2 linked regions of the Stegostoma tigrinum genome follow. The protein of the gene in region 1 interacts with the protein of each later gene in a pairwise test. Links are inferred from orthologs where the notes say so. Each region holds a gene or a part of one and is shown in the gene's direction. Other genes may lie near its edges.

Region 1 (15,842 bases):
AGTAAGACTAACTCAGTTTAGGAAACTTGGTTGGCATGGACTACTGAACCAAAGGGTCTGTTTCTGCGCTGTATGACTCTATGAGTCTACTCCATAGACCAAACAGCTACTTGTTGCAGGCCAAATCTCCATTGGTCCACAAAGAATTCGTTCAATTCTGCTTGAATCAGCATCTGCATAAACAGTATCGGGCTACTTGCTTTGAAATATATACAGTAATCCTCCAGCAATCCTTGGATTCTAAACTTCTTTTAAAAAATTCATTTCAGTCCATAATTAAACATACAGAAAGTAATGAAAAGATGCAATCTTGGTTCTTAAATAGCTATCTATTTTTTGATAATCCACAAGCGTGTAGCATTTGACAATGTGAGACTCACAGCAATGAGGCTGACTCCGAAATCACCGCTCAGTTCAAGGGCAGTTAAAGAAATGCTTGACTTGCCAGTGACTCCAATGTCCCCTGAAGGAATCATTGCAGTTCGTATACGAGAACATTTTGCATTTCTTTCATCATCTCAGAACACCCCAAAGATACTTCACTGGTATTGTATCACCACTGTACTGGAGGAAATGCTGCAGTCAGATTGCACACAGCAAGGTTCCACAAATACCAGCACGGCATAGTGATTAACATTGTTGCCTCACAGTGCCAGGCACCGGCGTTTAATTTCTGCCTCAGGCGCGCAGTTTTCACACTCTCCCTGTGTCTGCATGGGCTTCCTCCAGGTGCTCCAGTTTCCTCCTACAGTCGAAAGATGTGCAGGCTAGGTGGATTAGCCATGGAAAATACAGGGATAGGGTGGTGGGTGGGATGCTCTTCAGACAGTCAGTGTGGACTCAGTGGGCTGATGGCCAGCTCCCTGCTCTGTAGGGATTCTGTCAAGTGCCAACACGTCATTAACAGATGATATCTATTTTTTCAGTGGTGCTGATTGAGGGATAAATATTGGCCAGAATACAAGCGATAATTTCCATTCTGCACTTTGAAGCACTGTCATATGACCCATTTGCAGGAAAGTACAGCAGATGGGGTCTCCTAGAAATGTCACATTCACAGGGCGTTACCTCCCAAACAGTGCAGCACTGCCCCTGAATCGCAGTGGCAATCTCTGCCTAGATTGTGTGCTCAGTTTCCTACATGGGGTGAACTTGAACTCACAACCTCTGACTCAGAGGCACTGCTACCACCCACTGATCCAACACAAAAGAAAGAGCACAGCAATACTGTAATTGAGATACTTCACACCCACAATCATCAGAGCAATGTGATACATCTAAGTAAGTCAGAAATCATGTCACTCTCTTTCATATATATATTAAACTAACTTGGAAACAATCTTGTATTGAACATAATGATTTAGAGGCAAATGTAATCATGTCAAGATAAACAATAGGATGCTGAGAGGACAAGAAATGACACAGCAAAGATCCAAAGAAACAAAGACTAATTTTTATTTGGCATCTGAAATGACATGAAGCCAGGAAAAAGTGTTTTGCAAAGACGTGTTTTCGAAATAGTTGTAACGTTGGAAAGACAGCAAATTACACACAGAAAAAACTCCCAAATGATATTGATTGATTAAAAGGCACTGAAGAGAAGACTCCTGCTTTTCTTCAAATGGTGCAATGGTTTTATTTTATGTCCACCAGTACTGAAGAAAACCAGATGCTGTACCACGCAGTTATACACCTGGGTAATATGCTTTCTATGGTACATCTGTAAAAGAAAGTGAGGCTCCTTACGGACATGCCCAATTTCCTAAACTGCCCGAGGATTGAGAGGCATTATTATGCCTTCTTGACTGTGGGACAGTGCGTGATAAGTTGTCGGTTTTCGGTACTCCTTGAAGTAACGATCTCAATCCTTGCCACCTCAGCTCTGTTGATGTAGGTGGTTTGCTGCAGGTTTCTGTTTTCAGGTCACATAATGCCCTGTTTAATGTGTCATTCCAAAGGAAGATCCTTCAAAACAGCAGCACTCCCTCAACATGCCCATCAAGAGGGGGTGCTGTTTTGATTTAGTTTTAGCAGGTGAAGCTGGACAGATGGAAGAAAAGGCAGTGGGAGAGCATTTTGTCAGTAGCAATCATAATTCACTATTTTTAATATAATCTTGGAAAAGGACAAACATAGAACAGGAGTTAGAATTCTAAATTGGGTCAGGCCAATTTTAGGAAACTGAGGATTGAGTCAGCCGAAGTAGACAAGAAACAATCACTCAAAGATAAATCAGTGCCAGACCAGAAACATTGAAAGGAGATTCCAGAGATTCGAGGTAAACATATCCCCAAAAAGTAAAAAAGAGAGGGACCCATAAATCTAGACCATCCTGGTAGTTGGGAAGATTCTGGGCTAAGATAAGGTAGGGCCTATGTCTTGCACTGAGAACTCTAATACAGAAAACCAAGAGGAATACAGAAGTGATGATGGGAACTGCAGATGCTGGAGAATCCGAGATAACAAAGTGTGGAGCTGGATGAACACAGCAGGCCAAGCAGCATCTCAGGAGCACAAAAGCTGATGTTTTGGGCCTAGAATATAGAAAGAGGAGGATTGAAATCAAAATGGAAATTAAGACGGGAAAGAGAATGCATAAAACAATGTTTGCAAACAAAATCATAGTGAGCCCAAAGATGTTTTATCAATACAGTAAGCACAGAGGGTAACTAAAGGAAACCAACATAAAAGCAGGTCTGAAAAGGTAACCTATGTATAGACGTAGATGATGTTGATATGGTTCTTAATGTACTTTGTGACTGTCTTCATAACAGAGAGGGGACAATACAGATATTTTTGTTAAGTGTGAAGTATTAAATAGAAGCATAGAGCTGTACAGCACGGAAACAGATCCTTCAGTCCAACTTGCCCACGCTAACCAAATATCCTTAATTAATCTAGTCCCATTTGCCAGCACTTAGCCCATATCCCTCTAAGCCCTTCCTACTCGAGTATCCATCCAGAGGTCTTTTAAACGCTGTAATTGTACCAGCCTCAACCATTTCCTCTGGCAGCTCATTCCATACACACACCATCTTCTGCATGAAAAGATTGCCCCTTAGGTCCCTTTTAAATCTTTCCCCTCTCACCTTAAACCTATGCCCTCCAGTTTTGGACTCCCTGACCCTGAGGAAAAGACCTTGGCTGCTCACCCTATCCATGTCCCTCATGATTTTATAAACCTCTATATGGTCACCCCTCAGTCTCAAGAAAAATAGCCCAGCCTATTCAACCTCTCCCTATAACTCAATCCCTCCAAACCTGGCGACATCCTTGTAAATCTTTTCTGCATCCTTTCAAGTTTAACAACACCTTTCCTGCAGTTGGGAGACCAGAACTGAACACAGCAGTCAAAAAGTGGCCCTAACCAACATCCTGTACAGCTGCAACATGACATCCCTATTCCTACACTCAATGCACTGACTAATAAAGGTAACAGTATTAGGAAGAGAGGATTTTGATAGGATTATCACCTGTCATGTTGGATTAATCCCTAGAGCTGGATTAACTGCAAAAGAAACAACAGGATGCAGACCTGCTGATTTCCAAATCCCTGACCATCCTAATTCACTGGCTCCCTGTTTGCTGTGCATCTCCCCGCCCCAGACATTGCTGAGCACTTCATTCCCATCATCACCTCTGGATACAGAGGCCAGGGTAAGTACAAAGATACTTTAGGACAAAGAGCAATGGTGTCAGCAGAATCTATTGCTCTATTTACACCTCATTCTTCTTGCTTCCAAATGCTGCAGTATAGTCACAGTGCAGATACTCATCCATGGTACATCCTGTGTGGACACAGATACAGTCGGGGCTACACAGAGGCTGGTGTAATGGAAACACTATCAAATTTATATAAACGTGAGACAATCAGTTTCTAATCCTCACTGAATAAAAAGCGGTGCCAAAGGATTGGAACAATGCTGATGTTGTACCTTCGTTTAAAAATAGAGCGAGGGACAGACTGAATAATTACAGGCTAGTCAGTTCAACTTCAGGAGCGGGCAAATTATTGGAATCAGTTCTGACAGGCTGAATAATTTGTCATTTAAAAAAGCACAGATTGAGATTTCTCAAGGATAGGCATTATGGATTTATTAAGAGATGACAGTTTCTGACTAACTTGATTTTTTTTTAAGGAAGCCACACAGATGACTGAAAATATGGTGTATAGGGGTTTTAACACAGCTTTTGACAAAATCCCTCAAAATGCAAGGGTTAGCTGGGAAAACCAGGCAATTATGCTCTGAAACTCAAAGGGGACAAATGAATCATCCATGTCTTCCAAGCTTTTTTTAATTATATGAATTTTTTTCTAATTAACTTGTTCTGAGATGTTATTATATACTTCTGGAGCAGGTAGGACCTGAACCAGGGCCTCCAGGTCCAGGAGTAGGGACATTACTTCTGCACTACAACGGGGCCCTCTCAATCCTCTTAATAACGATGTCTAATTCACTTAGGTAACTTTGTAGAGAATCATTATCATGACATAAACTACATCTTGTTAAGATTGCATCCCCGTGTTAAGACAAATTGATGGCTGTTACTCCAGCCCAGGTTCAGGATATTGCATCTGGGTTGCAGAGGAACTTGGAGTGGGAGGGGAAAGATCTAGATGGTTGTAGTCCATGTAGGGCCAGCAATACAGGTAGAGAAAGAGGAAAGAGGTTCTGCTGAGGGAATATGAGCAGGTAGGTGCTGAATGAAAAAGCAGAACCAAAAAGGTAATGATCTTTAGGTTACCACTTGAGCCATGAGCTAAACTGTCACAGGGTCAACATATAGAGGTAAACGTGTAACTCAAAAATAGATGTGGGAGAAACAGTTTCAGAGATTGTAGGAACTGCAGATGCTGGAGAATCTGAGATAACAAGACGTAGAGCTGGATGAACACAGTAGGCCAAGCAGCATCAGAGGAGCAGGAAAGCTGACGTTTTGGGCCTAGACCCTTCAGGTTTGATTTCATGGGACATTAGCAGCAATACTGAACTGTTCTGATGGTACAAGCTCCACCTGCATCATGCTTGCACTGGAGTCCTGGTAAATCTTATAACTACGGTTGTGATTAGGCTTCAAACTAAATAGAGTGTGGAGAGTTGAAGATAACAAAGTGTGGGGTTGGGTTAACACAGTAGGCTAAGCAGCATCTTAGGAGCACAAAAGCTGACGTTTTAGGCTGAGACCCTTCATCAGAAAAGGGGGATGGGGAGAGGATTTTGATACAAATAGGGGGAGAGGGGGAGGCAGACTGAAGATGGATAGAGGAGAAGATAGGTGCAGAGGAGAGTATGGGTGGGAAGGTAGGGAGGGGATAGGTCAGTCCGGGGAAGATGGACAGGTCAAGGGGGCAGGATAAGGTTAGTAGGTAGGAAATGGAGGTGCGGCTTGAGGTGGGAGGAGGGGATAGGTGTGAGGAAGGACAGGTTAGGGAGGCGGGGCCGAGCCGGGCTGGTTTTAGGGATGCACTGGGGGGAGGGGAGATTTTGAAGCTGGTGAAGTCCACATTGATACCATTGGGCTGCAGGGTTCCCAAGCGGAATATGAGTTGCTGTTCCTGCAACCTACGGGTGGCTTCATTGTGGCACTGCAGGAGGCCCATGATGGACATGTCGTCCATTGGTTCAGTTGCATGGAAAATTATAAAATCAAACGTAAAGGAGAAAGTAGGATTATAATGATGGGGTTGGGGATGATTGTTACCAGAAGATAAAAGGAAGTGAGAATGTCATATTGCATCGAGGAACGATATAGTTGTGGGGAAATTTGATAATAGAACAAAGATGAAGGCTTTGTATCTTAATGCTTGAAGCATTCAGGATAAGATGGATGAACTAATAGGAAAAATTGAGGTAAATGAGTATATCTTATAGCCATAAGGGAATCATGGTTATAAGGAGATCAAAAGCGGGAACTCAACATTCAGGTAGTGGAGAGCTTCTGAGCCCAGGACTTGTCTGCTTTTCTTTGTTTCCTTTTTTTACCTCTCTTCCTTTTATAGTTCACTTCTATTTTACTTTACTTACTGCTTGGTGAAGGGTTCAGACTTGGCAAAGGCATCATCGGCACAGACTCATGGCGGGATGGGCAGAGGCGAGTTTGGGCCCACTACCAGACCTAGCAGCAGCTGCACTGGCGAGGTGAGCCCCAAAGCGGGCTTGTGGTGGCAGTACTTGGTGGGGCTGTTGCACTTCCCAGCCACTTTGGTGGCGTCTGCATTGGCAAGGTCCACCAAGGACCCATAGCGGTTTGGGCATTGATGGAGGCAGGATGGCACCAAAGAATGATGACTTTTATTCTAGCAGGGGGTGGGCGCAGAGAAGGGGCCTCATGCCTGGCCACCTGGCCCACGATGGAGCACTTAATAAAAAGGACTGTAAGGTGGGCACTTCTTTCACTGTCACATTTTTCTGCCTTTATATTCTGATTTGTTTTATTTTTCTGCATTTTAAGATGGCGCCAGAGTGTAGTGATGCTGCACACCACTTTTCACCACATTTTGTAACAAGATACACATGACAAGAAATAAATCTTACCGAGGCAATTTCTTCAGCCAGAGGGTGGTGAATCTGTGGTACTCATCACTGCAGATGGTTGTGGAGGCTGAGCCATTGGGTGTATTTAAGACAGAGGTTGACAGGTTCTTGATTAGTAAGGAGGTCAAGAGTTATGGGAAGAAGGCAGGAGAATGGGGTTAAGAAATATAATCAACAATGATCGATTGCTGGAGCAGAAACGATGGGCTGATTGGCCTAATTCTACTCCTATATCTTATGGTCTGATGGAGGTCATCATGAAGCAGAATTAAGACAAAATATGAAATTTAAACGTTAAAGCACACTGTCTAACTGAAGATGATTTTTGATTAAAGTGGAAGATCTATAAATTAGATTTCAGATCTGTTAATAAGGATGTATTAAGGTCACAAGCACAAGTTTTATTTGGGTAAGTTGGGGGAAATTAAAATATCATAGCTGTTTACAAAGAAAATCTTGAAGACAAAGCAAGAACAGTAAATAATCACATTAGAAACAAATGGCAGGAACTTTCCTAGGCCCGAAATGTCAGCCTTCAGAAAGATTTCTGAAGAAGGGTCTAGGCCCGAAACGTCAGCCTTTCCTGCTCCTCTGATGCTGCTTGGCCTGCTGTGTTCATCCAGCTCTACATCTTGTTATCTCAGATTTTCCAGCATCGGCAGTTCCTGCTATCTCTGCGTAATTCTTTGTTTTGTTTTCGTGTTTAGTTCATGTGACACCTCTTCTGGGTACGTCCATCCTGAAACCTACCTCAGTGCAATTCATTGCCGTATGCGAACTCTCGACCTCTCTCTCCATCTGCATCACCTCGTGCTGTCTCAGATCTCTCCTGCCTCCCATTCCACTTTCATTGTCTGATCGTTCAATAGTCCTGAAAAAGAGTCACTGGACCTTAAACATCTACTCTGCTTTCTCACCACAGATGCTGCCAGACCTGCTAAGTTTCTCCAGAAATTTCTATTTTGGTTTCAAATTGCCATCATCCCGCAATTTTTTGTTTTCTGGTAAATCTCTTCTGCGCCCTCTCCAGGGCATTTGCACATTTCCTATCAGGTGGATTGTACACAATATTCTAGCTGTGGCCTAACCAATGTCTTATACAGTTCCATTACCACCACACTGCTCTTAAACTCTGTCTCAATGAAACAGCAGTGCCGCCTTTGTGTCCAGGCAAAGTAGACTGTCTCTGCTTGTTGTTGAAAGTGAATGGTATTTGGGGGCCATCTTGTGGTGTAGTGGTAATGTCCCTACCCCTGGCCCAAGAGGCCCAGGTTGAGTCCCACCTGCTCCAGACACGAGTAATAACTCCTCAGAACAGGTTGATTAGAAAAAGAAGTTAAATAAAAAAAGAAAATAAATTGTCCCGTGTGTGTTCTTCACCACTTTATCCACCAGGCCTTAAGGGTTCAGTGTATACACACACCAAGGTCTCTTCATCCATGGTGCTTCCCATTCATTTCTTTTGTCTTCATTTTCTTGCCCAAGTGTATCACATGTATCCAGATTGATTTCCATTTGTCACAGGCCAGCCCATCCATATTGTCATTTCCTGCGTTGGTGATGGATGGCAGGAAATGACATCACCAACCCAAGGAAACCTAATCAGATAAATAGAAAGCGGGACATAACACCAGCGCTTCGTCGGAGGCTCACTGATGATGTTACCTAGAATGGTGACGAAACGTCTGAAAACTAACCTTCCAGCTCAGCGAGCAATCTCACATCCAGAACCTCAACCTGAGCTACAAATCTTCTCGAAACTCGCTAGGGCCAACATTCTCCCCTGTGGACCTAAACAGACACAGATTTCCAGTCACAAAAAGAAACCCAGTCAACCATCATTCTCTGCATCATGACACTCAGCCAAATGGGGACCCAATTTGCTAAATTTCCTTGGATCCCATGGGCTCTTGGCTTCCAGTCAGTTTGTACAATGTCGGGAGGACCGTTACCTCCTCCCGACCAGCAGGCGGTGCTCTGACGGGCAGTTTGTACAAAGTCGGGAGGACGGTTACCTCCTGCCGACCAGCAGGCGGCGCTCTGATGGGCAGTTTGTACAATGTCGGGAGGACGGTTACCTCCTGCCGACCAGCAGGCGGCGCTCTGATGGGCAGTTTGTACAATGTCGGGAGGATCTGTTCCTCCTCCCGGGCGGCAGGCGGCGCTGTGATGGGCAGTTTGTACAATGTCGGGAGGATCATCTGTTCCTCCTCCCGGGCGGCAGGCGGCGCTGTGATGGGCAGTTTGTACAATGTCTGGAGGATCTGTTCCTCCTCCCGTGCGGCAGGCGGCGCTCGAATGGGCAGTTTGTACAATGCCGGGAGGATCTGTTCCTCCTCCCGGGCGGCAGGCGGCGCTGTGATGGGCAGTTTGTACAATGTCTGGAGGATCTGCTCCTCCTCCCGTGCGGCAGGCGGCGCTGTGATGGGCAGTTTGTACAATGTCGGGAGGATCATCTGTTCCTCCTCCCGGGCGGCAGGCGGCGCGCTGATGGGCAGTTTGTCCAATGTCGGGAGGATCTGTTCCTCCTCCCGGGCGGCAGGCGGCGCTGTGATGGGCAGTTTGTCCAATGTCGGGAGGATCTGTTCCTCCTCCCGGGCGGCAGGCGGCGCGCTGATGGGCAGTTTGTACAATGTCGGGAGGATCTGTTCCTCCTCCCGGGCGGCAGGCGGCGCTGTGATGGGCAGTTTGTCCAATGTCGGGAGGATCTGTTCCTCCTCCCGGGCGGCAGGCGGCGCGCTGATGGGCAGTTTGTACAATGTCGGGAGGATCTGTTCCTCCTCCCGGGTGGCAGGCGGCGCTGTGATGGGCAGTTTGTACAATGTCGGGAGGATCATCTGTTCCTCCTCCCGGGCGGCAGGCGGCGCTGTGATGGGCAGTTTGTACAATGTCGGGAGGATCTGTTCCTCCTCCCGGGCGGCAGGCGGCGCTGTGATGGGCAGTTTGTACAATGTCGGGAGGATCTGTTCCTCCTCCCGGGTGGCAGGCGGCGCGCTGATGGGCAAAGTGCGCAGGTGCAGTTACAGCAGTCGGTCGTGTTTACATTCGAAACGGTCGTAAACACCGCCTGTGGAGAGCAGCTCACTGAGCGAGCTTTAAATAATAAATAGTAAAACTACACTGGGCTCCGGCGTCACGGAGTCGATGTATCGATTCCCAGCTTCAGCGAAGGAGAGAGATGGACACGAGCGAGTTATTCACCAGCTGCAGGAAGGGGGAACTCTCCAGAGTTCGGTGAGTGCGGCTGAGGCCCAAGTGCAGTCGGTTAGTGTGGGGTAAAACCCTGAGGGTGAGGGGGAAAATGTGAGGGAAAGTGGGGGAATTGGGGGAGAGGGAGATGGGGGGAGTAGAGGAGAGGGGTGGGTGGGGAAATGGGGTGATGGCAGTAAGGGGGTGGGTGGAGGAATGGGGGTGTGATGGAGAGAGTAGTGGAGTGACACAGTACAGAAGCTTTCCCTTCTGTCCAACTTGCCTGTGCCGACCAGGTTTCCCAAACTGAACTAGTCCCATTTGCCTGTGTTTGGCAGACATTCTTCTAAATCTTTCTCGTCCATGTACGTGTTCAAATGTCTTTTAAATGTTGCACTTCGACTCATCTCTACCACTTCCTCTGGCAGCTCATTCCATACACCAGCACACTGTGTGAATAAGTTGTCTTAGGTCTCTTATAAAGCTTTCTTCTCACCCTGAACCTACCTTGGGAAAAGACCTTGGCTATTCACCTTATTTTATGCTCCTGATGGTTTTATAAACTTTTATAAGCTCTCCTAAATTCTGGGTTAAAAAAGCCTGAGCCTCTCCTTATAACTTAAACCCTCTAGTCTCGGTAACTTCCTTATAAATCATTTTTACACCTTTTCCACTTCAAAAACATCCTTAAAACTGTGTGACCAGAATTGCACACAGTACTCCAAATGTGGTCTTACCAGTGACTTGTATGGTGGTAACACGATGCCCTAACGCCTGTACGCGGTGTTCTGACCGATGAAGGCAAGTGTGCCAGCCGCTGCCTTCACCATCCTGTCTATCTGTGATGTCACTTTCAAGGAACTATGTACCTGCACCCCTAGGTTTCTGCCCTGGTTTTTCTTACCAAAATGCATCACTTCTCATTCATCTAAATTAAACTCTAGCTGCAATTCCTTGGTCCACTGATAACCTTCTTCACCATCCACTATACCACCAATTTTGGTGTCATCCATAGAACTCAATAACCATGCCTGCTATACTCTCATCCTCATTGTATATGTAAATGATGAACAACAATGACTCGGGAATGGGGGTGTTGGAGAGGAGAGGTGGGGAGGTAACTTAAGAGATGGGATTGTTCAATGGAGGGATAGAGGGAAGGGAGAAAGGTGAGGGGAGGGGAAGTAGAAGGGAAGGGAGAATTGGAGCAGGAAGGGAGCAAAAGCAGGAGAAATGGAGAGAGAGAGAAGGTTGCAAGAAGTGGAGTAGGGATGGCAGTGAGGCAGAATGGAGGTGGGAGGAGAGGAGATGGGCTGGAAAGTAGACCTAGTGGAATGACCTGCCAATTCTGAATTTATTATTGTAAGATTCCTTAGTATTAGTGCAGGAGCAACAACAGCTCTTGACATTGGTATGAAGGAAAAGATAAAGCTGCCATAGTTCTACTGGACCAAAGCACTCCTCTCTATTATTAAACAGAGGAGAGTTGTGGTGGTATAACTTGAAGTACACCACATCTCAGGAAAGACATTGAGGTGAGTCCTTCATGGTAACCTCAACCTGTACAGGTGTAGTGTATGTACATGGATTTTCTGTCTGCATTGTGTATTAGTGTGCAAAGCTTCCAGTACATACATGCAAGTGCACCACAGTGAAAGCCCCACTGACCGTCTTAAGTTGGTCACTAGCATAATTCTTGCATGTTCAGAATTATTGTGTAAACATTGTCCAGTTGCAGTTCATATTTAATGTTACACACCGTCGTAAAGTTTAGAAGCGGGGACTGGTTGGATGTGGGCAGTACCTTACTTGTTGCAAACAGCTGAAGGGACAGGCTGTTTGATGCAGTTCAGAAGTCTTTCAATTCAGCCTTCTGACCTGGCACTTCTACTATCTGATTCACTTTGTACGGTACGATCTGCCTGTAGAATGCACAAAACAACACTTTTCACTGTTATTTTAGTACATGTGAGAACAACAAATCAAATCTATGGAAGGATATGGTGGGGTGGGGTTGCAGAGAAAATTCACAAGAATGATCCTGGGGATGAAGGACTTGTCATATGTGAGGCAAACAACAATTCTAGATCTGAGATAATAAAGTGTGAAGCTGGATGAACACAGCCGGCCGAGCAGCATCTCAAGAGCACAAAAGCTGACATTTTGGGCCTAGACCCTTCATCAGAGAGGGGGATAGGGTGAAAGTTCTGGAATAAATAGGGAGAGAGGGGGAGGCGGACCGAAGACGGAGAGAAAAGAAGATAGGTGGAGAGGAGAGTGTTGGTGGGGAGGTAGGGAGGGGATAGGTCAGTCCAGGGAAGACGGACAGGTCAAGGAGGTGGGATGAGGTTAGTAGGTAGGAGATGGAGGTGCGGCTTGAGGTGGGAGGAAGGGATGGGTGAGAGGAAGAACAGGTTAGGGAGGCAGAGACAGGCTGGACTGGTTTTGGGATGCAGTGCGTGGAGGGGAAGAGCTGGGCTGGTTGTGTGGTGCTCTGGTGGGAGGGGACGAACTGGGCTGGTTTTGGGATGCAGTGGGGGAAGGGGAGATTTTGAAGCTGGTGAAGTCCACATTGATACCATTGGGCTGCAGGGTTCCCAAGCGGAATATGAGTTGCTGTTCCTGCAACTTTCGGGTGGCATCATTGTGGCACTGCAGGAGGCCCATGATGGACATGTCATCTAAAGAATGTGAGGGGGAGTGGAAATGGTTTGCGACTAGGAGGTGCAGTTGTTTATTGCGAAGCGAGCGGGGGTGTTCTGCAGAATGGTCCCCAAGCCTCCGCTTGGTTTCCCCAACGTAGAGGAAGCCACACCGGGTACAATGGATACAGTATACCACATTGGCAGATGTGCAGGTGAATCCCTGCTTAATATGGAAAGTCATCTTGGGGCCTGGGATAGGGGTGAGGGAGGAGGTGTGGGGGCAAGTGTAGCATTTCCTGCGGTTGCAGGGGAAGGTGCCGGGTGTGGTGGGGTTGGAGGGCAGTGTGGAGTGAACAAGGGAGTCATGGAGAGAGTGGTCTCTCTGGAAAGCAGACAAGGGTGGGGATGGAAAAATGTCTTGGGTGGTGGGGTCGGATTGTAAATGGCGGAAGTGTCGGAGGATGTAAATGGCGGAAGTGTCGGAGGATGATGTGTTGTATCCGGAGGTTGGTGGGGTGGTGTCTGAGAACGAGGGGGATCCTCTTGGGGCGGTTGTGGCGGGGACGGGGTGTGAGGGACATCTGCTTGGATGTGGTTTCACAGGTGTCAGCAGTCCTTGGCACATTGTTTAGCTTAGGTGGCAATGCAACTGAAATACTGAAATATCTGTATTCCCTGGAAACTACATGCCGTACATCCTGGTACATCTTCGAACAATTTTGCACTTTTTGCCTTTTTTTATGCCATCTCTTTGAGGCTCTGAGGCAGCAACAGCTGCCATAGAGCTTTATCATGGTTACAGAGTTATGCCCCACCTCTCTGAATTAGTAGTAGTTATGTTTCTATCTATACCACTTGAAATTCCACCTGTGTGTCATCAGCAAACTGATATCCATTTATGCAATACCTTGATTTAATATTTATGAAACATAGTAAACAGATGAGGCAACACAGATTCCAGTGGGCCATCATTGGTCATAATACCAGAGTCAACATCTCTCTTTCCTGCACATCAGCCAACTTCTCAAACAGGTCAGTAATTTGACTTAAATTGCATGAGCTCCAACTCTAGCTAACTATTTCTCATGCGGGACTTCAGTGAATGCCTTTTGGAAGCCCAAATAAATAATATTTATTACATTTTTTTGAACAGCTGGTTAAAGTCTATCCAACCAATCAGGCAAGGCTTCCTATTCTTTACAAATCCATGCTGAGGGCCCTCCTGTGACACAGTGACACTGCCCCTACCCCTGGACCAAGAGACCTGGCTTCAAGTCCCACCTGCTCCAGACGTGTGTAATAACATCTCAAGTGGTTGATTAGAAAACAATAGGTTAACTTAAAAAAACAAATCCAAGCTGGTTCTTTCTAGTCAACGAAACATTTTCAGTATGGTTAATCATTCTATCCTTAATTACAAACTCTTTTAATATAGAATAATTTTTCACATAGAATAGTGATTCCTAAACTTTTTCCCACTGTGAGCCCAATTTGAATTTTCAAAATTAGGCACAAACTCTCAACAGGAAATGAGAGAGCAGGGGCATAACTCTGTAACCATGATAAAGTTCCATGGCAGCTGTTGCTGCCTCAGAGCCTCAAAGAGATGGCATAAAAAGAAGGCAAAAGGCAAAAAGCACAAAATTGTTCGAAGATGTACCAGAATGTACTGCATGTAGTTTCCAGGGAATACAGATATTTCAGTTGCATTGCCACCCAAGCTAAACAATGTGCCGCGGACTGCTGACACCTGTGAAACTACATCTGAGCAGATGTCTGTGCCTCTGAAGGGCTGGGAAGAAGCTTAATTGATTAAGTGACTGCACAAAATGGTTGCAGATGGATTTCAAGGTAGGCAAATGTGTAATCATCTGCTTAGGACTGCAAAAAGGTATGGAGTGCAGTGTCTTCCAATTATGGAAAGTTATAAATAGTGCACTTTCAAAGAAACTTAGGAGTTGAGGCACAAAGATAATTAAAATATCATGAACAGGGACTGAATATAACCATAAGACTGAAGGACTGATAGTCATGATATCTTGAAAGGAAGAATGCTAGGGGTAGAAGATGTACTTCACCTACACATAGCCCTGATTAGATCTCACCAGAAGTTACTGTGAATAGTTCTGGACAGCACATCTTTGGAAGGCTATAATGGCCTTGGACAAAGTGCAGTGTTGTGGCTGTCAGTTAGATGTAACCGAAGAGATTGAGATTGCAGGTGTAAATGTTCTGCTGAAGACTTGGAGTATGCAAGTACAGGTTGTAGCTTCCTAACCAACGCTGTCTAGTCCAGCAACCCTTCTGGCCTAGCATCCGCAATACTGCCAATTTTCCCTCTAAGGGTTATGCATCAATTTTTATTCATATTTTTTACTTTTGGTGTGCTTTGTCTTTTGAGTGCCCAATTGGAAAATCATTCATCCATTGATACAAGTGGAGGTGTGGTCTTTAAAGTGTTTGTGCATAGAATATGTTTGTCCTCCTGGGTTTAGTAAATTCTCTGGCCTGCCAACAATGCTGACCCTGTGGATTAGCAAGGTACGGCCAGCAGTCTCCAATATCATCATCATCATATAGTTATAGAAGATAATCTCACGAATGATAGGTTCCTAGGAAGTACAGAGAATCAAAGTGACTTTGGTTTTCCTGTCCGTAAGTTCTTGAAGGCAGCAGGACAGATTGATAAGATATTCAAGAAGGCTTATTGGAGAGTTGCCTTTATTAGCCAATGCATTGAAGACAAGAGCAAGGAGGTTATGATGGAGCTGTACATAATGTAGAAGGCCACTGCTAAAGTTCTGTATGCACTTCTGGTTGCCACACGAGGAAGGAAGTGGTTGCACTTGAGAGAGTACAGAAGAAATTCACCAGGATCCAGCACGGAATGGGGTGATTCAGCTATGAAGAGAGACTAGATAGGCTGGGGCTGTTTTCCTAATAGCAGAAAAGGCTGAAGGTCTTTCTGATTGATTTATACAAAGTTCTGAGGTGTATAAGATAGATGGGGAGAACCTTTTCCTCTTAATAGAAGTATCAATGACTAGGGGGAGGGTGGGGCAGCTTTGAGATAAGGAGGGTATATGAGGATGATACTTTCTCGTGTTCTTTGTCTGTACCCCTCCATGTAGCACCAGCTTCTGTTTTGTACAAAACACATCAATCTTTGAGAACTTAAGACAATTAATTAAAATGTAGTAGAAACAAGACCGTTATTGCACTGTTATTACAGACATATCACAAGCAATTGTTATGTTTAGGCCTTTTGCTTTATCTACTGCTGTTGCAAAACATGTGTATTTTTTAGATCCCTACAGTGTGGAAACAGGCCCTTTAGCCCAACAATTCCACACTGAACCTCAGTGCATCCCACCCAGACCCATTCTTCACTTCTAAGCTTTTCCAGCAATTTCTGTTTTTGTTCCCAGCTTAGAATGTCACCCGTACCTCTTGTACCTTTATTGCAGGCTGT
Region 2 (14,899 bases), on another chromosome or scaffold:
TCTGACCCCAATACTGTTTCATCCTCTTGTTCAACAAGAATCTCTCTCCCACAGCCTTAAAATATTCAAAGACTTTGCTCCTGCCCACATTGGAGATGGAAGGTTCCAAAGACTCATGACCCTCAGAGAAAACTAAAATGACCTCATCCCTGTATAAAACCTTGCCCTCTGGTTCTGCACTGCCCCCCCCAAAGGAAACATCCTTCCCACAGCCACCTTGTCAAGACCAGCAGGATCTTAGATACTTCAATCCAGTCACTCACTACCCTTCAAACACCAGTGCAAACAAGCCCCCCCAAGTCTGTCCAACCTCTCCTCACCAGACAAAAGGAGCATGTGAACAGGACTAGGCCATTCAGCCCTTTGAGCCTGTTCCACCATTCAATGAGATTATGACTGACTTGTGGCCTAATTCCATATTCCTGCCATTGGACCATATCCCTCAGCACCTTTGCTTAACAAAAGCTCATCTATCTCCGTTCCTGAATTAACAACTAATCCTGCGTCGTCCGCTGTTTGTGGAAGAGAGTTCCAATCACCTAGTGCCCTTTGTCCCGTAGCAGTGCTTCCAATGGGAGGCGATGGCCTAGTGGTATTGTCACTGATTTGTTAATCCAGAAACACAGGAAATATTCTGGGCACCCAGGTTCAAATCCTGCCACAGCAGATGATGGAATTTGGATCTGATAAAAATCTGGAATTAGGAGTTGAATGATGACCATGAATCCATTGCCAATGGTCAGGAAAACCCCATCTGGTTCACGAAAGTCCTTTAAGGAAGCAAACTGCTATCCCGACCTGCTCTGGCCCACATGTGACTCCAGACCCACAGCAATGTAATTGGCTCATAACTGTCCTCTGGGATGGGCAATAAATAGCAGCTTGGCCAGTGAAACCCTCATCCTGTGAATGAATAATAATCAAAAAACTCTCCTGAACAGTCTGGCCCCAATTCTCAGTTCATGCCCCGAGTTCTAGAATTCCCAACCAGTGGAAATAGCTTATCTTTATCTATCCTGTCTTTTCCTCGTAGTAGATTGAAGGTTTCGATCAGATCAACCCTTAGCCTTCTAAATTCTACAGAAAGCAGGCTGGGTTTGTGTAATCTCTCCTCGTAACCTAACCCCTGAGACCCAATCAATTCTCGTAAAGCTACATTGCACTCCCTCCAAGGCCAGTATATCCTCCCTAAGGAGCAGTGCCCAGATCTGCTCACAGTGCTCCAATTGGGGTCTATCCAGGGTTTTGTGTAACTGCAGCATAACTTCTGCTTCCTTATATTCCAGTCCTCCGGATTCCATTAGATTTCTTGATGATTTTCTGCACCTGTTTGTAACATTTTAAAGATCTCTGCACCGGAATCCCCAAGTATCTTTGGGCATCCAACTACATTAAACCTCAAACCACCCAGAAACTACCCCAGTCTATCCTTTTTTTCTCCAAAATGTATAACCTCCTTCACGCTTTGAACTCCATCTGCTACAATTTTGCCGATTCACTTAGTCTATCAATATCCTGTTGTACTTTTATGCTGTCACCTACATGATGGATAATGCCTAACTTTGTGCATGTTTTTGCTATTCATCTCTGCGGGATGTGGTTATCGCTGGCTGGCCCAGTATTTATTACATGTCCCTAGCTGCCCCTTGAGAAGGTGGGGGTGAGCTGCCTTCTTGAACCGCTGCAGTCCTCCAGCTGTAGGTTGACCCATAATGCTATTAGGGAGGGAATTCCGGGGTTTCCAGCATAAAAACAGCCCCAGGGCACACTATGGAGAATAGCACACCCTGTGTATATTATAGAGAATAACAGCCCCAGTTTTTATTACAGAAGATAACAAATCCCAACATGCATTATAAAGAATGCAGCCCCTATGTGTGTTTTGAAAATAGCAGACTCAGAACATATTATAGAGAATAGCAACCTCTGGGTATATTGTAGAGTAGCAGTCTCTGTGTATTTCATAGAGAATATAGACATATGTATATAGTGCAGAGGGTAGCAGTCCCTGTGTCTATTAGTGCATTGAATGTCGCATACATTTGTAGAGTTCAACAGCCCCTTTGAACATCACAGGGTTTAGCTCTCCCTGTGTATTAGAAATAATGTCATTTCTTGTGCATATTACGAGGAACAGCAGTCCAAGAAAATAATGAAAGAAACATTCTGGACAGATTTCACTTGAAACTCAGCTGGAGCAGCTTTTTATTTCAGTACCATAAGGCATAATCTGTATTTTCCTGACTGCATATTGTATATAATCCAATGGTTTGCTTTGAACATTGCTGATTGGTCAATTCTAACCACTTGAAGTTCAGGCCAATTTGATCCCCATGCTTGGTGTGTTGTGCAGTGTGGACCAACCAGATCCCCTACACTTGGTGTGTTGTGCAGTGTGGACCAACCAGATCCCCTACACTTGGTGTGTCCTGCAGTGTGGACCAACCAGATCCCCTACACTTGGTGTGTCGTGCAGTGTGGACCAACCAGATCCCCTACACTTGGTGTGTTGTGCAGTGTGGACCAACCAGATCCCCTACACTTGGTGTGTTGTGCAGTGTGGACCAACCAGATCCCCTACACTTGGTGTGTCCTGCAGTGTGGACCAACCAGATCCCCTACACTTGGTGTGTTGTGCAGTGTGGACCAACCAGATCCCCTACACTTGGTGTGTCGTGCAGTGTGGGCCATCCAGATCCATGCCAGGCCTAGGCTGACAATTTATTTGTATTTTTCAATGCCTGTTTCTCAGTTGTTTCTCAGCACTGACTCCTTGCAGGTCATATCTTGATGCTTGGCATTTGTGTGAAAGTATTGACACCAAAGAGCGCAGAAAGGCAGCACGGTGGCTCAGTGGTTAGCACTGCTGCCTCACAGTATTGAGGGGCCTGGGTTCAATTCCACCCTCAGGGGACTGTCTGTGTGGAGCTTGCACATCCTCCCTGTGTTTACCTGGGTTTCCTCCGGGTGCTCCAGTTTCCTCCCACAGTCCAATGATGTGCAGGGTAGGTGGTATTGGTCATGATAAATTGCCTGTTGCATCCAAGGATTTGTAAATTAGGTGGATCATTGCTGAGTAGTACAGGGCTACAGCTCAAGGGTAGTGTGTGGGGTGCTCTTTGGAGGGGCAGTTTGGGCTGAATGGCTTGTTTCCACACTGTAGGGATTCTATGAAAGAGGCCATTTGATCCATGATGGCTATCCTAGCTCTTGGAAAGGATGATCTCATGGGTGTTTCTCATCAGCTCATTTCCCATAACTCATCCTCTTTTTTCTTTGTCAAATATTTATCCAATTCCTTTTTAAAACTTATTATTGAATCTCCTTTTACTACCCTTTTGTTGATTGTCTTAAATCTTAGTACTCCTGTTGCAAATCTTTTTACCGATGGAAACATTTTCTCCCTGTTTAGTCTCTTAAATTGTCTCATCTTTATTAAACCTCCCATTAACCTGTGCTACTACCGTGGTGGAGAGGGAAGCAGTTTTGCGATGGGGATGTTGAGAAAAATAATCATAGAATCATTGTTCAACAATGAATTTTGAGAGAGGTGATGGCCTGATGGTATTGTCACTGCACTGTTAATCTAGAGACTCAGGTAATGTTCTGGGGTCCTGGGCTCATCAAAGCAGATACAGTGGAATTTGAATTCAATATTAAAAAAATGTCTGGAAGTAAGAGTCTAATGACGACCATTAAGTCATCATGAGGCCCATGAATGCCTGGAATTTCCTTCGGGGCCATTAACATTCTTTAGGGAAAGAAATCTGCCATCCTAACCTGGTCTCACCTATATGTGACTCCAGGCCTACAGCAATGTGGCTGACTCTTAACTGTTCTCTGGGCAATTAGGGGTGGGCAATAAATGGACAGTGAAACCCACTCCTGTGAATCAATGCAAAAAGAGAACTTGATTATTCACAGAGAAACATGGAGTTCCACATGAATTGCTATCATAGAACATAGAACAATGCAGTGCAGAACAGGCCCTTGGGCCTTCGATGTTGCGCCGACCTGTGAACTAATCTAAGCCCCACCCCCCTACACTATCCTATCATTATCCAGATGCTTATCCAAGGACTGTTTAAATGCCCCTGATTAAATTAGATTAGATTCCCTACAGTGTGGAAACAGGCCCTTCGGCCCAACAAGTCCACACCGCCCCTTGCAGCATCCCACCCAGACCCATCCCCCTATAACCCACACACACCTCTGAACACTGTGGGCAATTTAGCATGGCCAACCCACCTAGCCTGCACATCTTTGGACTGTGGGAGGAAACCGGAGCACCCGGAGGAAACCCATGCAGACACAGGGAGAATGTGCAAACTCCACACAGACAGTTACCTGAGGCTGGAATCGAACCTGGGTCCCTGGTGCTGTGAGGCTGCAGTGCTAACCGCTGAGCCACCGTGCCGCCCCGAATGTGGCTGAGTTAACTACATTGGCAGGCAGGGCGTTCCACGCCCTTACCACTCTCTGAGTAAAGAACCTGCCTCTGACATCTGTCTTAAATCTATCACCCCTCAATTTGTAGCTATGCCCCCTTTTACAAGCTGACATCATCATCCTCGGAAAAAGACTCTCACTGCCCACCCTATCTAATCCTCTGATCATCTTGTATGTCTCTATTAAATCCCCTCTTAGCCTCTTTCTCTCCAATGAGAGCAGACCCAAGTCCTTCAGCCTTTCTTCATAGGGCCTGCGCTTCAGACCAGGCAACATCCTGGGAAATCTCCTCTGTACCTTTTCCAATGCTTTCACATCCTTCCTGTAATGGGGGCGACCAGAACTGCACGCGATATTCCAAATGAGGCTGCACTAGCGTTTTGTACATCATATACAAGACACACACTAATTGCTTTCTTTTTATTAAAAAAACTTGTTCATATAACATGGTTGACCCTGGTTTTGTCACCCATCCCTACTTACCAGTTAAGAATGAACCACTTTGCTGTAGGCCTGGAGTCTCGGGGAGACCAGACCGGGTAAGGACATTTGTGAACTAAGTCGGTTTGTCTGACAATAGAACTGTGATCACATGGTTTCCACCAGATAGTTTTTAACTTCCAGATTTTTCTATGTTCTATTTTTGAAAATCTAATTCAAATTTCACCATCTGGCGCGGTGGAATTCAAACCCACGCCCCAAGAACACTTGCCCTGGGGTTCTGGAGAACTAGCCCAGGGAACATTAACGCTGCAACTACGCTGTCGCCTTCTCTGATTCTGGAGGACACACACAGAGATTGTTATTCTTTACAGTATAGAAGGGCTGCTACTTACTACAATGTGCACAGGAGCTGTAATTTCCTACATTACACACCCACATGAAAGCAACATAGCACAGGTTCTCAAAATCTGAAGCAAACAGAAATTGCTGGAGAAACTCGGCACGTCTGACAACATCTGCGGCCAGAGAAATCGAGTTAACGTTTCGAGTCCAGTTTGACTTGTCTTTAGCGTCACATCAAACTCGAAATGTTAACTCTGTTCCTCGCTCCACAGAAACTGCCAGACCTGCTGAGTTTCTTTCGCAATCTGAGTTAATTTCCTAGATCGAGCACGAGCTCCATGTATTCTATCGTCTTTGCAGGGGCTGTTGCGCTCTATGATATACGTAGGGAATGTAATCCTCTAGGATATGGAAAAGAACAGCTATTCTCTCTAATACATGCAGGAAATGCTTTACGCGACGCGAAACAAAGAGGCTCCTACACCCGTTAGTCTGCACAGAGGCTGTTCTCTACAATGACCCACCGCTGATACTATTGTCTGTAGCACGGAAGAAGCCTACTACGCTGTATAATATACACAAGGCCTGGAATTCTCTATAATGTACCGTAAGGTTGCCAACTCTATGTTATAGATAACAAAGTGTGGAGCTGGATGAACACAGCAGGCCAAGCAGCATCTCAGTTTTGTGCTCCTGAGATGCTGCTGGGCCTGCTGTGTTCATCCAGCTCCACACTTTGTTATCTTGGATTCTCCAGCATCTGCAGTTCCCATTATCTCTGATACAACTCTATGTGATACACGGTTTGCTATTTTCTGTAGTGTACTTAAGAGATGGTACCCCGGTTATTATACACTCAGGCCCATCCTCTATAACACACGCCGTGTTATTCTGTTCAACACACAAAACCTTTACCTTTCTCTAATATATTCAGATGTTGCCAATCTCCATACTATACCTAAGAGCTGCTGCTCTCTGTAACTTACAGAGAAGCTGCCATTCTCTGCAATACACATAGGGATGGGTATTAAGCTGCAACATCTGGGGTATTTTATTTGTTGTGATATAAAGGGTATATTTTACCCCGGAATCTTTCTTTCCCCAACTGTCGCTTCTTCGCCTTTCTCTCCTGTCCTCCTCACTTTCCTTCGCCTCTTGTTCCCTCAGCTCCTCCGCTGTCTCCCTCTGTTTATCTCTCTATCCTCCTACCCTCTCTCTCCTGTTAATCTCTGTATCCTCCTTCCCTTTTCTCTGTTATCCCTCTATCCTGCCTCCCCCTCTCTTTTCTCCTGTTTATCTTCTTTCCTCCCTCCTTGTCTGTCTCCCTTTGTTTATTTCTCTCTAACCTCCCTCCCTCTCTCCCAGTTAATCTCTCTATCCTCCCTTCCTCTATCTCTCCCTCTTTTTATCTCTCTTTCCGGCCTCCCTCCCCCTCTGTTTATTCCTCTATCCTCCCTCCCTCTCTCTGTCTCCCTGTGATTATCTCTCTATCCTGTCCTCTCCCTCTGGATATCGCTCCATCCTCCTCCCCCTCTTTCCTTCCCTCTCTCCGTCTCCTTCTGTTCATCGCTCTTTCCTCCTCTCTCTCCGTGTTTATCCCTTTATCCTCCATCCCTCCTCTCTGTTTATCTCTCCATCCTCCCTCCCTCTTTCTGTCTCCCTGTGTTTATCCCTTTCTCCTCCCTCCCCTCCTCTGTTTATCTCTCCATCCTCCCCCTCTCTGTGTTAATCCCTCTATCTCTCTCTCCGCAGTGTGTTATTTTGCTGGATATTCTTTACCGCATTGCTGTAGGAGGGAGGGAGAAGGCAGGGAGGGAGGTGGGGGCGGTGTGTGTTCGTACTTGCGCAGCTGCTCTTTCGCTGAGACACCGCCTATCGCCCGCCGCAATAAAAAGCAGCGAGGGGCAGCGGCGGCTCTCCCCGGCAGCAGCGCAGGTAAGAGCGGGCAGGAGAGGCACGCACCCCGGGGAGAGCTGTGTTACCGACCGGAGGCGGGGGGGAGGTCTGCTGTCACTAAAGAGGGTGCAGGTCTACAAACGGGGGACTGTGTGACAGAGCGAACATGGAACAGGATTAAGTAGAATGGAAGGAGGGAGAGAGATAGACAGGGAGGGAGGAATAGATAGATAGGACAGAGACAGAGAGATTAATTTCAGGAATAAGACTAGCTTTCCTTCAACACGCAGGGAGAGGAGATTAGATGGGAAATAAAAGCGAGACAATCTAATAATGTCATCATTCCAGACAAAGAATTGTTTTAAGAGGATGGAATTGGGAGATTGGGAAAGATAATTACATTGAGGCAGAAGGCTGGATTGAGAGTGAGTTCTATTTGAAGCAATCTCCATGAACTGAAACCCGGCACCTGCCAGGATCCTCTGGATATTGCCCCTCGATCTGGGCAAGCCCCATTGGAGGTGTATGACAGCAGCGCTCTCTTTAACAGACCCATGCAACGGGAACGGGGTTTGACCTTTTCACTTCCAGTGTGACTCAGAGATTACCTTCTCCCTGAATCCTCTCTCTCTCTCTCTCTCTCTCTCTCCACACCCCCCACCCTTTGTGTGTCTGTGTCTGTTTGCTGCAGTGATCCGTCCCCAGCCCCAGCCATGGGCAAAGAGAAAACCCACATCAATATCGTTGTCATTGGCCATGTCGACTCCGGTAAATCCACCACCACTGGGCACCTCATCTACAAATGTGGTGGCATCGACAAGAGGACCATCGAAAAATTCGAGAAGGAGGCTGCAGAGGTAACGCAGAGCTCCAGCAGCTTCCCAGGTCCATCCCAGCAGCACCCCAAATTTATTCCAGCACCTTCCCAGCTCCATCCCATATAATCTAATCCCGGCTCCATCCCAGCATCTTCCCAGCTCCATATCAGCTGCGCCCCAAATTTATTCCAGCAGCTTCCCAACTTCATCCTAAATTTATCCCAGCTCCATGCCAACAGCTTCCCAGTTCCATGCCAGCAGCATCCTAAATTTATCCCAGCTCCACCCCAACAGGCTCCCCTCTCCTTCCCAGTAGCTTCCCAGGTCTATCCCAGCAGCATCCCAAATTAATCCCACCTCCACCCCAGCAGTTCCCCAGCTCCATCCCAGCAGCATCCCAAATTTATTCCAACTCCATTCCAGCAGCTTCCTAGCTCCATGCCAAGCAGCATCCTAAACTTATCCCAGCTCCACACCAACAGGTTCCCTGCTCCTTCCCATTAGCATCCCAGGTCCATCCCAGAAGCATTCCAAATCTATCCCAGCTCCATCCCAGCAGCTTCCCACTCCATTGCAGCTGCACCCAGCTCTGTCCCAGCAGCTCCCCAGCTCCATCCCAGCAGCATCCCAAATTTATCCCAGCTCCATGCCAGCAGCTTCCCAGTTCCAAGCCAGCAGCATCCTAAATTTGTCACAGCTCCACCCCAACAGGTTCCCCGCCCCTTCTCAGTAGCTTCCCAGGTCCATCCTAGCAGCATTTCAAATGTATCCTGACTTCACCCCAGCAGCTTCCAAAATTAACCCTACCTTCCCCCAGCAGCTCCCCAGCTCCATCCCAGCTGCACCCAGCTCTGTCCCAGAAGCTTCCCAGCTGCATCTGAACAGCTTCCCAGCTCTGTTCCAGCTCCGTCGCCAATTTTCTATCCCAGTCCCAGCTCCATTCCAGCCCTGATTCCAGCAGCTTCCCAGAACTTATCCCACTCAGCTTCCTAAGATGTTCCCATCAGTACCCAAACAATTCCCAGCATTTTCCTATCATTGCTTCTGGCACAGTCACATTTCCAGAATGGTCCCAGTGCACGTTCATAGAGCTTGGCCCACACCCCTGAACATACAGAACAAAACCAGAATTAGGAGCAAAAATAGCCCACTCGGTCCCTCAATCCAGTACAGTAAGCGTTAAGATTACTTCCTTTTTTTTTACAGTATATTTATATATTTAAAGATTCCTTCCTTTCATTTTAATTTTCTGGAACAGGATTTGTTTGCAGATGGAAGTCAAATACCACTTTTTAAGAAAATGAGCTATGTCCTTACCATTTTGATGCTTGTCTATTTGTTGTCAACCCTCCAGGCTTGATTCTGGACCTTGCTGGGATTGAATTAACGTCCAGGTCACTGGGTGAGCCACCAGCAGAAAAGTCTGATGTTTTTTAAAAAGATGCTCAGCTTTCCAATTTCTTCATTGATTCTAAAATGATTGAAGATGGTATCGTTGGCTTTGGCATCGGGTGGGGGGGTTGGTTGTACAGGTTCAAATACAGACATCTCCAGGACTCTGTCCAATCAGAGTCGGAAGCCTGTCATGGAAAATGATTGGAACGCCAACCATTCCAGCATATTGGATAACAATTAGCAGTTTTCTCATGTGACTGGTCACATCATGTAATTTGCAAGGTACAAATTGATGGAAATGAGCCAGCATCTAACATGGGTGCCATCCTTTGAAATGGCTTCTGTTTATAATGTTACACTTTGTGACCTCCAGGCCTGACTGTGTGATGTTTTCCTGGCTGTTGTGCTCATGCCAAATCCCTTTTGCTCACCGTCTGCTGACCCACATTGCCTCTCACCCCACAGCAGCAACTCAATTCACAAATTTCTCACTCTCCTTTTTAAACCCTTTTCTATGCCTCGCTCCTTCTGTCTTTGTAATCTCCTCCAGCCCCATTAACCTCTGAAATTGCTGTACACCTCCAAATTAGTACATCCTCATTTTAGTCCCTTGCCTTTGGTGACCTCTGGAAATCTCGCTGTACAGCTCTGTCTCTCTAGCTCCCTTTCCTCCTTAAAACCTACCTGTTGTAATAATCCCTTCAGTGGTTTGATGAAATTGTTTTGATAACGTTGCTATGAATCTTGGATTCCTTCATTACATTAATAGCGCTATATAAATGCAACATGTCCTTGGTTTCCGTGGCGATCTATTCCAAGTTCTGTGTCTTTGCTGACTCACTAATGGGTCAGGCCATCAACAGCTGTAATTCTCCAGGCATTCGGAATATACCAGTGATTTGTATATGATGGCTGCAGAAATGACTTAATTTTACTTGTGTGCCTTTTTTGCTATTGTTTTTTTCAAAGCTGGTATTTTTTGGGAATTATCTGTGATTGCGGGGCCTTAGTCACCATCAGCATCAATTTTTATTTTGCTTTTAATTTCCAGTGTGATTCTGCAGCAAATTCAGCAATTCTGCTCTCTGTCTTCACCCCCTTTCCATTTTTATACTCTTTAAACGTCTCATGGGAGATGCTTTAGATGCAGAGAATGTGCTTTGAAAATGGTTGAACACGCTGGAAGCTTTGGGGCACCCTCTGTTCCCCGGCCCTACCCAAGTGCTAACAATCTCAGGGACTCCCTGTGATCCTGATGTGAATTGCTGATCATGTATCCTGCCTCAGGTCTACCTGTTGCCACCACTCCATCACCCTGACCCCTGCCTCAGCCAAAACTGCCCACTGTGTCTGTTACATCTGCATTGATTATTCCAACCTGAAACAGAAATAGCTGGAGAAACTCAGCAAGTCTGGCACCATCTATGGACAGAGAAACAGAGCTAATGGACCTTTGAAAGGCAACTGGACTCAAAATGTTAACTTGGAGCTGCTGAGATTTCCCCAGGAGTTGATTTTGCCTTACCTCTTGGAATCCCTGCAGTGTAGGAGGTGGCCATGCACCATTAGGTCTGCTCTGACCCTCCAAAGAGTGTGTCATTCAGACTCAGCCTACCATATCCCTATAACTCCACATCCCCCACGACTAATCTACTGAACCCACACATCTTTGGTTTGTAGGAAGAAACTGAAGCACCCGGAGGAAATCTGCACAGACACAGGGAGAATGTGCAGCCCCCTGAGAGTGGGATTGAATCTGGACCCCTGGCGCTGTGAGGCAGCATGGCTAACCACTGAGACACGGTGCTAGTGGTATCCTTAGCATCTACACTCCTTGGTGTTATTATTCAATTATTCAATGCTGTCCTGGTTGGTCACCTAACCCCAAACTTCGGCTTGTTTAAAACTCTGCTGCCCTTGTCCTAACTCCCACCATGTTCCCTGCACACACTGGTCCCTCTTGTGCTTGCTGAGCTGCCCTCAAACATTGGTATTAAGGTATGTGACCTTGCAGTTAGCTGGAAGCTCCCATTCAGATCAGGCAGCAGGACAGTCACTTCAAAATGCCACATGGGTGGTCCCACACACAGGCAGCCTATTGTTAAAACAAGTGAGCCAGCTCTACAATAATACAACCCACAGTGATTTAGCTTGAGTCCAGGATCACCTCGAATGTAAAATTCTTATCCTTGTATTCAAACCCCTCCATGGCTTCATTCCTCCCCATTTCTGTAACCATCTCTGTCACATCAGTACCAGAAAGGTTACATCACTGGACAGGTAGTGCCAGTGGTGTAGTGGGGTTTTCACTGGACCAGCAAACCAGAGACTCGGATTAATGTTCTGGGGACCTGGGGTTGAATCCTGCCATGGCAGATGGGGAAGTATGAACCCAATAAAAATCTGGAGGAGAGAGCAGTTGTAATAGTGACCATGAAACCACTGTCTGTTGTCATAACAACCTATCTGTGTCACGACTGTCCCTTAGGGAAGGGAATCTGCTATCCTTACCTGGTCTGGCCTACATGTGACTCCAGACCCACGGCAAAGTTTTTAAATCTTGACTACCCTACGAAATGGTGATATTCAAGCAGGCACCTCACTTCCCACTCTACCCTTAGGGTTAGTGAGGGTAATAGATGCCTAGGTGTTGCTGTCACTGGCAGATAGTGTCTTGGCTCACTGGTTAGCACTACTGCCCAGCTGTACCAGGGACCTGGGTTCAACCCCACCTTTGGGTGACTGCCTGTGCCAAGTTTACACATTCTCCCCATGTCTGCATGGGTTTCCTCCCATAGTTGAAAGATGTGTAGGTTAGGTGGATTGGATTGGCAATGGAAATACAAGGTTACAATGATCAGGTGGGTCTAGGTGTGGAGTCGCTGGGCTGAATGACCTGCTTCCACACTGTGTGGATTCTGTGACATTTTGGAGGGAGGACCTGGAGCTTCTCGTAGTCACTGGTTCCTGTAGCCAACAACAGCAAACAAATTAATATTGCACCTTCAGGGTAGGAAAATGTTCCAGCATGTTCCATAGGAACATAACCAAATGACAAAAATCAACATCCAGCCATGAGTCTGTTGTTCAGGAACTTGATTCAAGTTAAACATCATCATCACATATAGATTACAATAAGCTTCAATATCCTGAAAGGGAACTTGTTAAATAATTGCAAATGGAAGAACATTCAGGGCTATGGGGCGACAGAAGAGCATTGGAACGAATTGAGTAGCTCTTGCAGAGAGCTTGTACAGGTAGGAGAGGCTGAATGGCCTTCCTCTGTGCTCTGCAATCTATATAAGTAATGATTTGTAAATACTTCTGTTGTAATCTTCAGATTGATTTCCACGGTGTTTTAAAAGGTAGTGATTCTGTGGTAGATGTTTGATGATCCTTGTAATACAGTTGTCTAATTGATACCGAACATTGAGAAGGAGAACCTGCTCTGATCTCTCCTCTTGCTCAGATGGGTAAAGGTTCCTTCAAATATGCCTGGGTCCTGGACAAGCTGAAGGCTGAGCGTGAGCGAGGTATCACTATCGACATCTCTCTGTGGAAGTTTGAGACACCAAAGTACTACATCACCATCATTGATGCTCCTGGCCACAGGGACTTCATTAAGAACATGATCACTGGAACCTCTCAGGTCAGTAAAATGCTGGAAGAGGCCAAAATAGATTTCCAAACCTGGAACTGAAGCATTTTATTCCTCTGGTTCCTAATTTGTATCCCCTCTGGTCAACTGTTCCAACACACTTCATTTCAGCATAATCAGAAAAAGTAATTAGCACTGAGGTATAAAATAAAACATTAGGAAAGGTGGTTAAAGACTTGGGCCAAAGAGGACACCTTCAAAGAACATCTTGAAGGAAGAAAGAGGGATAGAGAGGTGAGGATACAGCCAGCAATGTATTGATGAAAGGAGTAGGGAATAGCAATTGGTTAGCGTGGAGAATTTGTACATTTCATGGTGGTTCTGGCTGTGATTCTAAAAGTGCTGTCAACATTCTGAACATCACCAGAGGGACAGGTCTCTGCAAACAGAGTTAGAGAGGGCAACCAGGCTTTTTGCTCAAAGTGGGCATCACAGTCTATCCCAGTTCTCAGTTATGGCAGGATGTGGAGGTGCTGGTGTTGGACTGGGGTGGACAAGGTCAGAAATCATATGACACCAGGTTATGATCCCATGGGTTTATTTGAAGACACAAGCTTTTGGAGCACTGCTCCTTCATCACCTGATTTCACAAAAAAACCTGTTGGATTATAACTGGTGTCGTCTGACTCCATTATAACAGACACACATCCACAGTCTCGTGGAAGCAACCCTGACTGATATAGAGTGAACCTTGGCTGACATTTGTCCACCCCCTAACTCAGTGGTACTGCACCCCATCATTGTGTATAGCCATTGTTACTGAGCTGGTAATGAGGAGGCCATTGGATCAAACGCGCCAGTGAAACCTGATTGGCAATTGAAGCCCAAATTAATTTAAAACTAATGGAGGTCATATAGAACTAGGCCATAAAAACCATGGAGTGTTCAGTAAAATTAAACACTCCTTTAGAGAAGGAAAGCTGCAGTTCTTGCCTGGACTGGGCCTGTGAGTGACTCCAACCTCGTACTAAAATGGTTGGCTTTTGAGCCCCCTCTGAAATGGCTGAGAAAGTCCCTTCATTCTTTCAAATATTGTCAGAGCAGTTCTGAATGGACAATAGTTACCCACCTCGTCCAACTCTGGAGAATTAATGAAAGGAAAATTCCCTCAGAAAGTATCAGCTATTTTCATTAATTAATTGAAAAAAGCATTTGAGGGAAAACTCTATCTTGAGAGTGGTGAGAATGTAGAAAACATTATCACAGGGAGGGATTGTGGGGAATTGTGTTGATGTATTTCATGAAGCGCTGGATAAAGAGTGGGTGATGGGGATAGGGCGAGATGGGGAGGAGATGATTGGAATTTAGAACGGGCAGAAACAGCAGCAGAGGAGAAGAAACACCACACTGTTAGAGCAGGACCTTAGCAGGAAAGAATGAGATGGGAAGGCAGAAGGGTTTTGCAGAGTTTTAGCCCAGAATATGGAATACACAGCCATCAGTGACAGCGCAAAGGGATAGGAAAGGGGCTGGAATCGGAGGATAGCTAAGATAATGGAGGATTACAGATTGAGGCCATGAATGGAGAGGGAATTCTAAAACCTGGGGCCTTGGTTCTGATTTTGCCAGTGTAGGTCAGTGGGAATGCAAACATCAGTGGTTAGTGCTCAGGGGGAGCAGTGAGCTGTGGGGGCCAGGGTGTAATTGTAAGGGAGTTACATTGACAGTGAGTAGGGGGCGTCAAGGGTCCAATAGCATGATTGCCTCTTGACAATGTGTGTCTCTCTGTCTATGCAGGCCGACTGCGCTGTGCTGATAGTAGCAGCTGGGGTTGGTGAATTCGAAGCCGGTATCTCCAAGAATGGTCAGACGCGTGAGCACGCGCTCCTGGCCTACACGCTGGGGGTGAAGCAGCTCATTGTGGGCGTCAACAAAATGGACTCCACCGAGCCTCCGT

What was found.
Region 2: the proteins of abtb1 (region 1) and elongation factor 1-alpha 2 interact in binary tests that used the Homo sapiens proteins (3 or more experiments, as listed by UniProt). The two-hybrid records come from large-scale screens. The link is inferred for Stegostoma tigrinum from reciprocal best matches to the Homo sapiens genes ABTB1 and EEF1A2.

What each region holds. Positions count from the first base shown.
Region 1 is NC_081364.1:5,669,103-5,684,944, reverse strand, and holds the start of abtb1 (ankyrin repeat and BTB/POZ domain-containing protein 1), read left to right. Parts: upstream 1-9,546; 5' UTR 9,547-9,714; coding exon 9,715-9,770; intron 9,771-15,842. UniProt on the Homo sapiens protein: May act as a mediator of the PTEN growth-suppressive signaling pathway. May play a role in developmental processes.
Region 2 is NC_081372.1:3,118,461-3,133,359, forward strand, and holds the start of elongation factor 1-alpha 2, read left to right. Parts: upstream 1-7,036; 5' UTR 7,037-7,170; intron 7,171-7,822; 5' UTR 7,823-7,844; coding exon 7,845-7,988; intron 7,989-12,813; coding exon 12,814-12,993; intron 12,994-14,739; coding exon 14,740-14,899. UniProt on the Homo sapiens protein: Translation elongation factor that catalyzes the GTP-dependent binding of aminoacyl-tRNA (aa-tRNA) to the A-site of ribosomes during the elongation phase of protein synthesis.